Xenopus tropicalis: one gene and its partners. The protein of the gene in region 1 interacts with the protein of each later gene in a pairwise test. Links are inferred from orthologs where the notes say so. Each region holds a gene or a part of one and is shown in the gene's direction. Other genes may lie near its edges.

The links.
Region 2: the proteins of sqstm1 (region 1) and snca interact in binary tests that used the Homo sapiens proteins (3 or more experiments, as listed by UniProt). The link is inferred for Xenopus tropicalis from reciprocal best matches to the Homo sapiens genes SQSTM1 and SNCA.
Region 3: the proteins of sqstm1 (region 1) and dazap2 interact in binary tests that used the Homo sapiens proteins (3 or more experiments, as listed by UniProt). The link is inferred for Xenopus tropicalis from reciprocal best matches to the Homo sapiens genes SQSTM1 and DAZAP2.
Region 4: the proteins of sqstm1 (region 1) and cdc37 interact in binary tests that used the Homo sapiens proteins (3 or more experiments, as listed by UniProt). The link is inferred for Xenopus tropicalis from reciprocal best matches to the Homo sapiens genes SQSTM1 and CDC37.

The regions. Positions count from the first base shown.
Region 1 is NC_030679.2:22,202,840-22,206,877, reverse strand, and holds the start of sqstm1 (sequestosome-1), read left to right. Parts: upstream 1-1,238; 5' UTR 1,239-1,574; coding exon 1,575-1,764; intron 1,765-3,116; exon of another isoform or gene 3,117-3,554; intron 3,555-4,038. UniProt on the Homo sapiens protein: Molecular adapter required for selective macroautophagy (aggrephagy) by acting as a bridge between polyubiquitinated proteins and autophagosomes.
Region 2 is NC_030677.2:78,431,466-78,435,670, forward strand, and holds the start of snca (alpha-synuclein), read left to right. Parts: upstream 1-1,405; 5' UTR 1,406-1,689; intron 1,690-2,091; exon of another isoform or gene 2,092-2,197; intron 2,198-2,237; exon of another isoform or gene 2,238-2,322; intron 2,323-2,655; 5' UTR 2,656-2,680; coding exon 2,681-2,801; intron 2,802-4,205. UniProt on the Homo sapiens protein: Neuronal protein that plays several roles in synaptic activity such as regulation of synaptic vesicle trafficking and subsequent neurotransmitter release.
Region 3 is NC_030678.2:142,300,702-142,304,844, forward strand, and holds the start of dazap2 (DAZ-associated protein 2), read left to right. Parts: upstream 1-1,343; 5' UTR 1,344-1,380; coding exon 1,381-1,393; intron 1,394-4,143. UniProt on the Homo sapiens protein: In unstressed cells, promotes SIAH1-mediated polyubiquitination and degradation of the serine/threonine-protein kinase HIPK2, probably by acting as a loading factor that potentiates complex formation between HIPK2 and ubiquitin ligase SIAH1.
Region 4 is NC_030679.2:137,667,132-137,671,210, reverse strand, and holds the start of cdc37 (hsp90 co-chaperone Cdc37), read left to right. Parts: upstream 1-1,279; 5' UTR 1,280-1,301; intron 1,302-3,680; 5' UTR 3,681-3,713; coding exon 3,714-3,815; intron 3,816-4,079. UniProt on the Homo sapiens protein: Co-chaperone that binds to numerous kinases and promotes their interaction with the Hsp90 complex, resulting in stabilization and promotion of their activity. Inhibits HSP90AA1 ATPase activity.

The DNA.
Region 1 (4,038 bases):
GTTCAGATTCAACTTCTGAATGCCCATGTTAGCCCTGCCATCCAATTTCATGTGTAAGCAGCTGTTCCAGCTACAGTAGGCAGTGTTGGACTGGGACCCCAGGGGCCCACCAGAAAACCTTGGACCCTAGGCCCACTCTCCAAACTATATTTCCTCCTTTCCTCACCCAACCTCTTTATTCTCCTAGTCTCTTTTATTTACATCTATCCTTCCATTTATTTCTCCTCTTTCTTCCCATTCAGAAATAGCAAATGACCTTGAAGTATGCCAAATGGTCAGGAGAATAAGGGCCCACTGACCCCTCGGCCCACCGGGAGTTTTCCTGGTATCCTGGTGGGCCAGTCCGACACAGTAGGCCTCAGTCTGCTTAGGAACATAAGCTGCAACTGTATTATATTCACCATTAAAGGCATTGGCCCTACATTCTCCTGTCATGTTTGAGTTAAAATTCACCATAACTCAAACTGGGCAAGTGACCCATCTGTGAATAGAGTTGCCATCTGTCCAGCAAAACTTATGCTTGATGTTATCTGTAATGGAGAATGATAAAATAAAATATAGGAAAGCAAAGGTGGCAACCCCAATCTGCAACTGTTCTAGATGTTTCCAAAGCTTGGGCTCCTATATATTGCTGGACTATAACTCCCTGCACGCTTCACCATATAGTCTAGTTTTAAAGCACTCTGGGAGCTGCAGTCTTTCAACATCTGGCGCCATAATTAAGATACAGACACTATGGGGCACATTTACTATTCCATGAATTTGAATCCCGAACGGCAAAAATTCGGATTGGAAACGAAAGTTTCTGAACTTTTTCGTCGCCATCATTGCAAATTTTTCGTACTGACCGATCGTAAACGCCGGGAAAACCTTTCTGACTTTGATCTTTCAGTGCATATCTGCATGGGCTCGATCAGTGCACTTGCACACAAAAGAACATTCCGGTAATGTGACGAAAAGTCATGGAATATACGAAAAAGTCGTGATGGCGCAGAAAAAGTCGCAAAAATACTGATCATAACGAAAAAAAAACGCTTTTGGAGCGTTCCTGGGTTAGTAAATGTGCCCCTATGTGTAGGAAGTTACAATCCCAAAAGTGGAATAAACAGAGAATAGAGTAAGAAATTATATTTAATTATACTTATAAAAACCTTAAATTCACAAAAAGAGGTTATTGTACACTTTTCAGTTAAACTGTACTTTATACTGTTCAGAGGACTGTGAATCTGTCATTTATTATGTAATATTGCCCTGCAGTTGGTAGTCTTTAGTCCCCTCACTGTGTGGAGTTCCCCCTTTGTTTTGCCAGGTCACGGTGACATCACAAGGTTGGTGGGCGTGGCTAGCAGAGTGGAAGAGTCTGGCAAGTTCCAAAGGGCTGATACTAATAGGAATACATTGGACGTAGAGGGTGGACTAAGGAGGAGTGGGGATTTCCAGGCTGGCTGTATAAATAAAGCTGGGACTGCTCTCAGCCGTCAGTCACAGAATAACAAACTTCTGCGCAGTCGTTCTGCTCATTGTTTTGTTCCTAACTGCGACATCGCCGCCTATACGGTGCCCAAGGTGCCACCATGCCAGTCACCGTGAAAGCCTATCTGCTGGGCAAGGATGAGAGTCACAGGGAGATCCGCCGCTTCCAGCTGGAGCTGCCGGCTGCCGGCAAAGAGAAGGCGTCCGTGTCCAGCTGCGAGCTGCTAGCTAACAAGGTGACTGGCGTGTTCCAGGGCCTCAAAGGGGGAGCCTTCCAGATGTTCTACAAAGGTGGGAAGCTCAGTCATTATATACTAATAATTGCTTATATCAAATAATTGTTACATGGGTATATAATTAATAATTACCCGACCTCAAACCTGACCTTCATTCATATTTGCCAGCAGATATTGGCATATATATCCCCTGCACTTTGCTTCCAATTTCAAGGTAATATGAGGCTTGGCATGAGGATAAACCCACCTCCCTAATGGGCAAATAATCTCCTTGGAAGATACCATGTCCAGCAGGGGATGCTGAATGACTGCCAGTTTATCATGTGTAATAATAGTAAGAACCAGTCTCCAGTCTCTGTGTTGCAGAACTACACCCCTCTGTAGCTCATACGCTGGAAGAATGTAGTGAGTTGCAACAGGTTGCCTGTGTCTGGGGTAAATTCTGTACATTATACACTTGTATGTGCAAATAATTGTTCAGCGCACACACAGCCTACCCACAATAGGAACGATCTTCGGGTACAGTCGATGGTAGCAACACAAACTTGTGCTACAGCTACTAATTCTGTTTATATCTCAGTGTGGTTATGGCTTCAGGGTGAATCACAGCATAATATTATTGCCTAGGGCAGAATAAACAGCGCTGAGGCCAAATAATAAGGAAAGTTCAGTGAATGTGGGTAGGGCAATCTGTGCATAAGGCACCTAGCCCACAAGCCACATTGCCCTCACTGGATTGTTGGTAGCCCTAACCCTCGTGTATTGATCTACATGGGTGACTCATTTAATAAATATAAGATGGTTGTTAGCAGATATTAGTACTATAACTAGTACTACAAACTGATTTAGAAAAACAATATGAATATAATGTTTAAATAATGAATAACAGACAGTTTTCTAACCATTTCTTAATAGATGAGTTAGTAATTTTGTCTAGTGATCCGTGGTGTGCCCAGGATTTGGGTGTTGCAGCTCACACAAGCACTGGCATGGGTTATGTACACAACTTAAGTATTTTTCTTATAAAAAAACATGGCTGCGTGCTTTATCACTGCTAAAGGGGAAGGGCCATTGTGTGTTTGTTTTGTTGGTGCTGTCTGGTTATGCAAGGGGAGTGGCAAAGGTTGTCGGTCTAAGGTCTGTGTTATATATTTGTACTTGTCGGCTTGTATTGTATTTTTTGTGATACGTTTGGATGATTGTCAGTAGGTCAGAACTATGCTGATAACAATGTTTCTTGGCTTTTATACATGTGGAAATTTCCACTCTTGCCGGATCTGGTTAACATCTTTCCCGAGCCAGGACCTGATTAATAATAGCTAGAGACTGAAACTGGGGGAAGCAGGTTATTAGGATGAGGGCACTAAAGAGTTATTAAGCAGAATCTGAGCGATATCTAAACCTTACCTTAGCAGATACCATAATAGCTGTCCAGTGTTTAGTCAATGAAATACGTGGTAGATCCATGGCACCTATAATAGAAACAACTCACACAGCATTGAGGCAATCTCCTGTACAGGAAGTATAGTGTGCAACTGTGCAAAGGTTGTAGCTTCCCACGGTCACCAATGTATAGTCTCAGCAGATCAGACTTCATTTTTCAATCTTATCAGAATTCAGCCAGGCTGTGTATTACATTGAAGGAGGACGCCTAGCCTAAAACGAATTTCTCTTGAAATGCTGTATTTTATATACTGCACTTGTTGTAACAGCAGAGGCAACAGGAATTATGCAGGACTCCAGATCAGCTCACCATCTTAGACCTTGTTAAGCCATCTGTTTAGTGTCAGTGACACTGCACTTGCTCTGTGTGCTCTTGGCTGTTTTTGAGAAATTAAGCTTTGCCTGAAATTATCAAACAGAAAATTAAGTTTAACTTTTACAGAAGCTGATGTTTCAGGTTGCACTGGTTTCTAAACTTGTGTGTAATTAATGTGAAGTTCATTTAATTACTAATTAGACTTTCATTGTAACTTTTATATTAAATGTATAGAATGTATATTGTGAATGGGTCCTTATGCTTAGGCAAATGACAGTAGCCCCCCAGAGTATGTGCTGTGAATTAGCAGCAGAGAAGATGGGGAGCTATGGGAGGCATCTTCAGCGGTACAGATCTTCCCTGCTAGATAGTAGCAGGTAGCCTTGGGTTACTAAATAAGGTCAAAACATAATAGGGCTCATTTATCAACACTTGGCAAATTTGCACGTGGGCAGTAGTCCATAGCAACCAATCACTGATTTAGCCAGCCAAAACAGTGAACAGTGAAAGCAAAAATGTAATTGTCATGGGTTACTGTCCATTTGCCCAGTGTTAATAAATGATTCCCAG
Region 2 (4,205 bases), on another chromosome or scaffold:
TTAGAGAATGCAAAATAAGACAGTGGTGATCAGAACTAAGACCATAAGAATAACTAGGTGTTAAAACACAAATCACAAATGCACAAAATGAAATGGGCTTTTTGTGTGACAGATGCCATGTCTTTTTTGAAGTACAGGAGCAACATACCCCCTTGTTTAACATGAGTTCAATTAGTAGGGCTTGTGCTAGTTGTACTTTTTGCATATTGTTTTAAAAGACACCTCTCCTCCAACAGAAGAATCTTCAGAACAATTCTGTGAATTATTCCTCTGTCGTTGTAGCTTTCTTGAATAACAAAGGGGTTATGTACTGTACCACACACACAATACATTGTGTAAAGTGCAAAAAGGCATTAAGTGTCGCACTCTTGCACATGTAACCTGGGGATTAGAAAATGAGCACTTAAATTAGCTTGGAAGCCTTGCTGTGTTGGAAAAATAGATTGATTCTCTACTGGGTACCATTTGGTTGTAGTTTCCCAAGGGATTTATTTGTTTTCCTGGTTTCTTACTACTATATATATATATATATATATATATATATATATAATATGTAAATAAGGGATGATAATAATAGTACTCCTGTTTTTTAGGAATGAAACTGGTTGCTGATCTTATAGCATTTCATAGCAGTGCATGGATAATGGTCAGAATGAATTATTGTGGATAAGGTTGATAATAAGATGTTATCATTACCAGTAACCAGAATGGGTCTGCAAAATGTAATTATCTAAAGGTTCCACATTCTTTAGTTACAGTTATGAATTGGAGTATTTAGGGCATAATTACATTGTCCTTCCACTGACCAATTCCCTGGGTTGAAAGGAACCATCTACATAATATAGTAAATACTAGAATTCAGTTTTGGTAAGGCTTTGTAATATTTTAGCTGTTTAGTGTTATTCTTCTCTTCTTACTGTCATTAGTAATTGGAGAGAGCGCTTAAATGCTTGCCTGTTACATATCTGCTATCACCTTAGTGACTGCAAGCTTGTTGTAAGAAATATTTATTGTGGCAAGTGCAGATATTTAGCAATAAATAATTCAGCACAGCAGGCATACAGCAGCTGCTAGGGTAAGGTAGCAGATCATTTGCATGTCTGTAGTAGACGATATTACTCTTTTTTGTTGGTGGTGTTTTGTGGGCAGATTTGATTGTTGCTTTCCAGCACCTACATTACAAATGAAGGTGACGGGAACAATAATTTTCCGATGCAAGGCAGACCTCTTAATCTCAAATATTTCTGTTGATAATGGTTCTCATTGTTTGCTCGAGCAGCAGTCGGATTACAAGTGGTCCAGCTTGGGGAGGCTGGCTACGATTATTCAATTTTCACACTGACAAATCAGGCATGTGGAAAGGAAAGACGGGAGGAGGGAGGTGTGGAGGGTGTAGGGGAAGGGAAGAAAAATACGGAGGACATAGGTTGCTCCTACTGAGTAAAAGTATTAATCTCTTATTTTTTACCCCTTCTAAAATTCCTTCTGTTTATGAAGAGCTGATAGGTGTGGTTTCTCTGGTACCTGCTTTGAATGCTTTGATTCCATCAGGTTGTTACATATGCACATACCTCTCAGGGGATTTATTTGGCAGTTATGTACTGAAGAAGAGACTTGATTCCTTTTTTATTGTTTATACACGCACAGATATCATTCCTGTTGGACTAATTTTGGGGAGCAAAGGTTAATGTAAGTATTGCATTTACATCTATATAACATGCCATGTAGGATATTAAGTGTATTTATTCTGCTCACTATGAGCTTTTTTAAATGTTCTATCTGGCATTTTCACCCAGACCTAGTTTAAGCAGCTGACAGTTGCTCACGGGATAGCTTGTCACCTGTGTCCTTAATGCAACGGAGAATGATGCACATGGTTGTTTGTCTTATATAAGGAGAATAGGAAGTATGAAGGTTTCTGTGGGTTAAATGCTCAATTTTATCTTTAATCTTTTTGCCTGTGTGAAGTACGGTATATTGTGTCTGTTTCTCTCCCATTCCCTTTCTCTGACTCTCCCTCAACCACCCCCACACAAACTCTCTCACACATACACAGCACCACTCTTGCATACAAACACACTCAAATATTCATTCTTGCACACACACTCATACATATCTGTATAAAGAGAGACTCTCACAATCACAGACATACATACACTTTGATCTTCATCACCTATCAAACATCTTAAATAATTAGGTACATTTTAACAACAGGGATTATCTTTTTTCCTTAAGAATAAAGTTTTTGTTGGATTAAAAATAATTATTGTAAAGCTTTTTCATCCTGACAACAGCTATTGCATTATTATTTACAATATTTTGGTAAGTTACAGACCTTTGTAAAATACTACCATCATAGACCGACTCGTCCTGTTGAAATACTCTGTTGCATGTTGTAATGTAGTAAAGAAGTATTAGACAAATGGCGTTTCATGTTTCAGAAATCCATTTTTGGCAATATAATACATATATATAGCATATCTTGCTGATTGGACTGATTAAGGATAGACAAGGGTTGCACCGAGAGATTGTTTTTTAAATCCTATACTAATCAGTTACAGATATTTTATTTTGTAGATGCTGTTCAAATGTAATGAGTTACACTATAATCAAATGACCTGTCCTAATGTGTTTGTATGCATTTGTCTTTTGCAGAGCCACTAGAATAAATTTATTAGCTATGGATGTATTCATGAAAGGGCTTTCTAAAGCTAAAGAGGGTGTTGTGGCAGCTGCAGAAAAAACCAAACAGGGAGTGGCAGAAGCAGCAGGAAAGACAAAAGAGGGTGTTCTCTACGTAGGTAGGTAAAAAACTAATCAATATAATGTCATCTGTTCAATTACAATCCTTATCTCCATTTTTCATCACCCTGCAAAAAACACAATAGGATCTATCATTTGTCTTCCGTGTCCTTGGAATACAAATGCAAATACCCTTTAACATTTGTTTATTGTGTAGAAGTTTGTAGCAGTAGTTGTCCATGGCAGAATGGATCTGTAACCCCTGGAGATCACAGAGGATCTCCTTGGTGGTAAATCCCATACATGTCTGTTTTAGAAGCAATAGCCCACTGTACAGTTTTGTAAGCCACAAGACAGACCACTACAGAAACTGTAGGCTTGATAATAGATTGCCCAGTTCTAATCACATTGTAGCCTGTTACACATATTCTTTACATTATGATTTTACAAAGTGTTGTTTCTTTTGAAGGTATATTGCAAATCTAATTTACACAATACAAATAAATAATGACTAAATTTAAATGCTACTCTTTATAATGACAATTAAAAAATTAGGGAGAGGGATAGAAAGAACATAGTTCAATATATTCTACAGATCTGTAAAATAGAAGGGTGAACACATCAATATAGTTCTCCAAGTGCTCAGGCAAAGGAAAGAGGCATAGGAACCAGACCAGAAAGGTCAACTAGGGAAGATTATGGGACACACTGCCCCCTGAAACCTACAAAAGACCTGAGTTGTGGTCCAGTACACTACATTTTAATAATAACACAAAACTAAATGTCCTTAGTTCTCTTGTGTAAACCCTACATGTTCCTATTATGTATATAATTTGGGTACATCTCCCTCACTCAGACAGCATCATTTGTACTGCATATATCCCCAAAGTTCACCAGCACCATATTATTTTCCTAAAACAGATAGTAGCTTTCACCCACCCGCCATTATTAGTGATGTATTTGCAAACAGCAACTTTATGCTGTAAAATTCATGCAACTGAGACTGCAGGCTTACACAGGCAAAACTTACTTTGATAAACATTTTTGGTTGGTTTGAGCACTCTAATGTTTAATCTGAGCTCAGAAGACATGGCTAGGAGAAAAATAGAAGCAGACAGCTAGAGCAGAGCTTCTATGGGAACCAGCAATGCCATCTCCTAATTGTCTGCTAGACTGGAGAGTCTAGTAATCTGAGTTGAGAAGAACTGAGCATGCCCAGTAGCCAACAGTCAAAGCATATTCCTGAGGAAGGGGGCTGAGTGGGTTACAGAAGAAGAAGGAATCCTAAGTGATTAACGGGATGCTGCAGCCTTACTATTAACCTTTTAACAACAAGAGTGACATGTAGTTAAATATTTCAAAGAGGCTGCTTACTTATTACATGTTTGTGGGGGGTTCACGTGTCCTTTAAAATTAAAATATGTACATAGAATAAAGTTTGCACAGTGCACATATTTATAGTC
Region 3 (4,143 bases), on another chromosome or scaffold:
CAGTGACTTATAATATCCCTTTACAATAAGGGGTATTTTTTCTCAATATAAATTAAGTAGGTGAAGGTGAAAAATAATAACCTTAAAAAAATTCACAATTTTTACAGCAGGTGCTGCTCCTAGACACCTTTGTTACGTAAAAATTTTTCAGCTGGGGGAGAGAAGTCCCAGCCAATAAGGCCAGTGCATTGGGGTTATTTGCAAAGGTGATGATAAGAAGGAAACACACAGAAATTACAGGAGAGTTGTGAGTTAGGTTCTAGCACTGCATGGGCTACAGTTCCTGTCAGGTCCAATAGTAGCATAGAGTAGTGAGGGTCAGTATCTGGGTGTTAAGGGGTCAATATAATAAAAGGTGCGAAATTTGCTTTAGGTTAGTGACCCACTGCAACCAATCAGCAGATAGAATTTACTGGTCAGCTATATAAAATCAAGAATCCGACTGGTTGCTATGGGTTAATTGACCCAGATGAACTTTGCATCCTTTATTACATTACCCAATGTATACCAATTCCATTATATACTGCATGCATGTAATATTAATATATTGACTCTAGTGACTAAGGCTGATGTTCCACTGAGCGGTTTAGTCACCTGCAATAGATCTCTGCTATCGCAGGCAACTAACTGTTCCAAAATGCATTTCCACTGGCAACAATAGGAGTTGCTTGTGAAAAGCCCTTCACATGGCTTTGGTATTCCAAAGTCATACAAAGTTTCCTCCAGCAGGCATCTTTGTGTGACTTATGAAAACTGAAGCAATGCAAGCAATGGCTTTCTACCGGCGTGGCTGGTGGATAGGCATTTCGTAGAGGGCAGTCACCCGCGATAACACAGATCTATTGTGGGCGACTAAACCACTCCGTGGGACATAAGCCTTTCCCTTTACCTGAAAAGAAACGTGTCAGCCAACCAATGACATAGCACCTACGTTTACAAGAAAAATGCATTCCCCAACAATGCAATTTTTTTACAAACAGCCCATAACCTGGACAACAGGGAAAGAGCTAAATTGATATCCTAGACCAGTGTTAATACAAAATGGTAAAAATCTGTTGATACAAAAGCAAGAAAATTTTACTCATTTCCAGTAAAGCAGCTACTATGTTACCTAATGGGCTAATTATAACCATAAGTTGTACCATTCCTTGGGTCTATGAAAAGCAAAATGCGTGTTTAGGCAAGCCAAAAGCTGCAGCCTGCAATAAAGCCGCGCAAAATGAAAGTGCAGGTAGGGGGCGCTGCTCAGCAGGAATGCGCTTTCGTATCTGCGTAGAGTGAAAAAACACAACAAGGAAGTAGATAGAAGCGGAAGTGGAATCATCTCCCACAACAACACAGAGAAAATACAGATCGAGCAAGAGACGTGAACCCGGGGCAATGAATAATAAAGGCAAGTAATGGCCCCTCCGGAGCTCAGCGGCAACTTCACTGTGCTTTGCGCTTGCTAGGGCTGTTTGTCCTGATCAGGATGCACCTTGGGATTGAGACTGCGACCTGGCGGAGCTGCTGCTGCTGCAAGGCGTTATGATGTCACTGATACCAGTGATTTGGGGCCCTGCTGGGACTTACTCTATAACCGAGTCCCTCTGCTTATTATTATTAGGAAGTATATGGTTTGGGTGGGTATATTCTAGGGGCGGGCTCTATTAGTCACTGAGCGAGTGAATATATATATATAAATATTAGGAATTCGGACGTATTATAGAATACGTTTATACCTTGGTAACCAGCTCCGGCTCCGTCCTGCTTGTGTGCGCACCGCTCTGACCGTGTAAGGCAGGGATTGTGTAACTCCTTGTGTATGTGCCTCGCTAAGGAACATCGGACGTGTCATTTGCCTTCCATTCCAGCGCTTTATAAAGGATTTAGTGGCAAATGGATCACTAAGTAGGCCAGTCGGCAACTATAGTACCATAGTTACATAGGGTTGAAAAAACACCAGAGTCCATCAAGTCCAACCCATCCAAGTAAATCCAGCACTTACAACCTATATTTACCAATCTATCATCAACCATGCCAGGCTTCAGGCTGATGGTATTTGTGCATGGCACTCTTGAATTAACAAGAACTCTGCTACTGAAGAGCAGTAATCCAGTAACAAAGTACATTTGTAGTAGAGTTTAGTACTGCACTGGAAACATTGTCTAATCAGACTTGGACTGGGATTTAAACCAGGCCCTGGCTTTTTAAATACACAGAGGCCCAAACAGCCCCCCTACACAACCCCCAATAAATAGTGCCTGTCTATATCAGTGATCCCCAGAGGCTCACATACAGCATGTTGCTCCCCATCCCCTTCCCTGTTGCTTCCAGTGGCATCAAAGCAGGTGCATATTTTTGGATTGAAGTCAAATTTGGATTGCATAAAAAAACAGAGCCTCCTGTAGGTTGCCAGTCCACATAGAGACTACCAAATAGCCATAGTGCTTGTGTTGCTCCCCTACTCTTTTTATATTTGAATGTGGCTCACTTTTAAAAAAGGCTGGGGACTCCTGGTCTATGGTATCTTACAGCAGCCCCTCTGGCATTTGCCAGAATCACAGATTGTCATTGTGGAACTGTGCCCAATTTAATGCTGCTGCACACCTGTGCATGGACAAATATCAGCCACTCCATATCGCTTCACTGCTTGGGGTGTTGAGCTTCCTTCTCCTTCAGAATAGCTTCATAAATATACATTTGATAAGGTGCAAAAACAATTTGCAGTTTTAACAAAGAGGAATTCCTCGCCCATTTTAGCAGCAAAAAGAGGAGATTGCATCAAATAAATTATTATATGGATGACTTTATGAAAGAATGTCATAATACTTGTTTAACTTTTTCATTGCAGAGGGGGTTGTTCTCTAATGATTCTCAAGGTCTTCCCAATGTTTCTGCCTATTCAGAGTGACATTCTTGAGAATCTCATACTTGAGACTTGAAGTTTTACAGTGCTTTTGATTTTATTGTTCTAGTCTAGAACCAAAAATGTTCTGCCTATTTTGAACTTGTTATGGGTAAAGAATAGTATTTTGTCTTTTTATCTTTGATTATTTCTGCTGAGCAAATTAGAGTGCTACTTTGTTCATAACTTTAGGTTAAAGAATAAGTAAACCTTTTTTTTCTATCAGTAAAATTACTCTAAACAGCCTCCAGAATTACCTACCTTTGTCCCAGCATTCTTTCTGACCTGGTTCCTCAGTTAGAAGTTGATAGTTTTTCTTTGCTTCCTTGTGCAGAGTAAAGCCCCGCCCCCACTTCCTGTTCAGTTCTCTCTTCAATTCGACTACCTGTAGTTGACCTGGAGAGCCTTCTGGGCATGCCTGGAGGCAGCAGTACGCATTCACGCTGCACTTCCGCATTCCCCGGTCATCGTCGATCACAGACGGAAAAGGTCTGGTCACCCATGAGCTAGCCATATTCTTAATGAGCTGCAAGTTGGAGTGATATCACCCCCCTCCCAGCAGCTGATCAGCAGAACAATGGGAAGGGAGCAAGATAGCAGCTCCCAGTTGGTATCAGAATAGCACTCAATAGTAAGAAATCCAAGTCCGGGTTGGGCCCCCTCCAGTTACATGGGAGTATGAGAAACAATAGGTTACCTGAAAGCAGTTCTAATGCGTAGCGCTGGCTCCTTCTGAAAGCTCAGACTGAGACACTATGCACTGAGATGGCGCCTACACACCAGAATTACAACTAAAAAAAATACATGTTGATCCAAGAATAAAATTTTAAATGGCAGAGTGAATTATTTGCTAAACAGTGTAATTTAGAAATAAAAAGTACACCACAAAATCTTTAAGCATGAAGTCTAGCATTCTTTAATGATGGCCTCTGAGTGACTGACCTGAAAAGTTCAAATAGTTACTCAGAGGCCAGAATATCATTGAAGGATTTTGGTAACCTTGGTAGGTAAGCAATACAACACAAACATATGCAGACTATAAAGACTATTGGATTCTCTGTGTTTCCTTTAGGCTGATTAAATATTGTTTTCCATCATCTCCCAAATCCCAAGTCAAATTGATTAGATGAGTCTGATTATAAGCCAAATTGAATTTTAATTGGTATATTAATATTTATCTCCAGTTTTCCCAAATTTTGCAGTTGTCAAAATTTCTGTTTGTGTGAAAACTAATTTTTTTCTGTTATGCAATCTTG
Region 4 (4,079 bases), about 120 Mb from region 1:
ATTTAATCAAGTTCAATGCACTTGTTTTTATGCCTGAAGAAGGCTAATTTGGTCATTTGGCCCTGGGGCCAAACTACGGAATTATAATGACGGGTATAGGCAAGTCATTTTGGGGACTGCATCAACGAGCCGATGCGGTCCCAGATCCGTCAAAATTTTTTAACCTGCCCGATTTCAGGCCAGATGTCGGTCATGCAGGCCCGTCGTTCGTGCCCCTACACGGGCCAATAAGCTGCCGAATCGGTCAAAAGGTGCCCATACACGGGCCGATTGTAGCTGCCAATATCGGTCCCTTGGACTGTTTCGGAAGCTTATTGGCCCGTGTAGGGGCAGGAACGAGGAGCACGCCCGACCGATATCTAGACTCACATTGGCCACATATTGATCGGGCAGGTTAAAAGATTTAGTTGGATCGGGGAACGCATCGGCTCGTTGATGCAGTCCCCGAACCAACTGCCCCATTGCCATTATAATTCGATTGGCCCCAGGGCCAAACGATCAAATTTGCCTACATGTTCCCCGATATCACCCACCCGTAGGATCTTCACGTGTATGGACACCTTAAGGGACCGATATCGGCCGCTAAAATCGGCACGTGTATGGCCACCTTAAAGCACAGATCTGCTTGCCTGGCAATTAGGCACATTTGGTAACTGACCCTCAACCAATACCTAATGGAAACCAATTATATATTGCTTCAAAGTGATTTATATTTACAATTGTAACGACAAGCAGTATTTGTATATCCCTTTCTGTTCTCTGGTTTTGCTACATTGTTTCAGGAGTCAGAACCAGCAGCGCAAACAACAGTAACAGCCAGGCAGACGCTGCTTTGAACAAAAATCACAAAATATCAAAATGATTTATTTTTCTTTTTAATGTATGTATACCAGAAAGCTGCCTAGAATTAAGTTAAAATAAAACAGATTCCGGATGGTGTTCCCCTTTCACAATATAAGCAGTTGTTTCATGTTTTCCTCCCCCTTGGGCCGCCTATAATGTTGATTGTGGAAAAACCCTTCGCATACCATCCTATAAAGCCGTTTCTATCTCCAATTCCCCTCCACAAACCACTCCCTACGGCAGCAAGAACAAACCTGCCTGTCTAGCAAAGGCGGAAGTGACGCAAGGAGAATGGAATAGGCAAAAAAGGAAGTCGGCCCGAAGACTCTAGCGTAAGGGCAAATCAGCCGCGTCGAGGTTAAGGAAGTGATGTCATGGAGTGGGCAGGCTGAGGCAGAGAGTGCAGGAGCTTTCCAGAAGCTTGCGAGGGGGCCTGCAGCTGCACCCTGGTGTGCCAGGTAATGGCTTCTTCCCACAGCTGGCTATTTCTCTTATACCTGCCTGCGGTGCTGCTATATCCTATTTACCTATACGGACAGGCTGTTTGGGCAACAGTTTAAGGCATTAAGCAATACTCCCTGGTATAGTGAGCGCTGTTCTTGCCCGGGTAGCTGTACTACAACTCTCACAATTATTGAACATATACTCCAGACTTAAAGTATACTGGGAGTTGTAGTCTAACAATATCTGGGAGCCAGGCTTTATCATCATTAATGGCTGGGGCACAGTATATTATTTTCATCTACCCCCCCCCCCCCCATATCCCTGCCATGTTTCTGATTCTAGTCCCTGACATGTGGCAAGTAAAGCAGGAGTTGGGGGGTCGCACTGTCACATCTGGGGGGGGGGGGGGGTAACCATCAAATATTACATTACTGTTGTTTTTTTGATTTGCCAGGAAGGATGTAGAGACAAAATTATACCAGGAAATTTACTCACCATAACAGAAAAGTAACTTTATATATCCCCCAGTTAGGGGGGGATTTGGGGTGAGTGCTTATTTGTGCCCTGGGTACCCCTGGAACTATAGCAGGGTGACTGTTACCCCAATGTTTCTATATATCTGTAACCTTGTTATGGGCTAAGGGGGCCCAGCCTGAAGGCCAGTTAGGGGGGGATTTGGGGTGAGTGCTTATTTGTGCCCTGGGTACCCCTGGAACTATAGCAGGGTGACTGTTACCCAATGTTTCTATATATCTGTAACCTTGTTATGGGCTAAGGGGGCCCAGCCTGAAGGCCAGTTAGGGGGGATTTGGGGTGAGTGCTTATTTGTGCCCTGGGTACCCCTGGAACTATAGCAGGGTGACTGTTACCCCAATGTTTCTATATATCTGTAACCTTGTTATGGGCTAAGGGGGCCCAGCCTGAAGGCCAGTTAGGGGGGGATTTGGGGTGAGTGCTTATTTGTGCCCTGGGTACCCCTGGAACTATAGTGGGGTGACTGTTACCCCAATATTTCTATATATCTGTAACCTTGTTATGGGCTAAGGGGGCCCAGCCTGAAGGCCAGTTAGGGGGGGATTTGGGGTGAGTGCTTATTTGTGCCCTGGGTACCCCTGGAACTATAGCAGGGTGACTGTTACCCCAATGTTTCTATATATCTGTAACCTTGTTATGGGCTAAGGGGGCCCAGCCTGAAGGCCAGTTAGGGGGGGATTTGGGGTGAGTGCTTATTTGTGCCCTGGGTACCCCTGGAACTATAGCAGGGTGACTGTTACCCCAATGTTTCTATATATCTGTAACCTTGTTATGGGCTAAGGGGGCCCAGCCTGAAGGCCAGTTAGGGGGGGATTTGGGGTGAGTGCTTATTTGTGCCCTGGGTACCCCTGGAACTATAGCAGGGTGACTGTTACCCCAATGTTTCTATATATCTGTAACCTTGTTATGGCTAAGGGGGCCCAGCCTGAAGGCCAGTTAGGGGGGGATTTGGGTGAGTGCTTATTTGTGCCCTGGGTACCCCTGGAACTATAGCGGGGTGACTGTTACCCCAATGTTTCTATATATCTGTAACCTTGTTATGGGCTAAGGGGGCCCAGCCTGAAGGCCAGTTAGGGGGGGATTTGGGGTGAGTGCTTATTTGTGCCCTGGGTACCCCTGGAACTATAGCAGGGTGACTGTTACCCCAATGTTTCTATATATCTGTAGCCTTGTTATGGGCTAAGGGGGCCCAGCCTGAAGGCCAGTTAGGGGGGGGATTTGGGGTGAGTGCTTATTTGTGCCCTGGGTACCCCTGGAACTATAGCAGGGTGACTGTTACCCCAGTGTTTCTATATATCTGTAACCTTGTTATGGGCTAAGGGGGCCCAGCCTGAAGGCCAGTTAGGGGAGATTTGGGGTGAGTGCTTATTTGTGCCCTGGGTACCCCTGGAACTATAGCAGGGTGACTGTTACCCCAATGTTTCTATATATCTGTAACCTTGTTATGAGCTAAGGGGGCCCAGCCTGAAGTCCAGTTAGGGGGAGCTTGAAGACCTCTGTATTAGCTTTTAGTGGGGGAAATTCAACACAGGACAGATAGTCCTTCAATGCATTTTGTAGAGACAAAAAGATTAGAAAGGCTCCATTACCGTTTGGCCCTAGATTCAGTCCTTGATAGTGATGAGGCAGAAGCAGTTATGACAGTAGGTACTAGTAACTGCTGGAATTGCATTGGCTCTGTCGAGGTATTTTGGAGATAATTATGAACACTTAAGACATAAGAGGATCGTGCTTAGGGCCTTATGGATACATCAGGCTTTCTAGACACACAGGAGCTGCTTCTGTAGCAAGTAGTAATATAGACCTTTTATATGTTTGAATTCTTGTAAACAAGTCTTTCTTTATGCCCTTCATTTCAGTGAATCTCTTGTTTGTCTGATCTCTGCTACACAATGGTGGATTATAGCGTGTGGGACCACATTGAAGTTTCTGATGACGAAGATGACACTCATCCCAACATTGACACTGCCAGTCTTTTCCGATGGCGTCACCAGGTAATGCCACATAGGGGGGAAGATTCTCTCTCCTTTCCTCATTGAAAATGTTTTAAAGGAACAGTAACACCAAAAAATGAAAGTGTAAACTAAAATATAATGTGCTGCTGCCCTGCACTGGTAAAAGTTGTGTGTTTACTTCAGAAAGTCTACTATAATTTCTATAAATAAGCTGCTCTGTAGCCATGGAGGCAGCCGTTCAAAGGAGAAAAGGCACAGGCACATAGCAGATAACAGATAAAACACTATTGTATTCTACAGAAC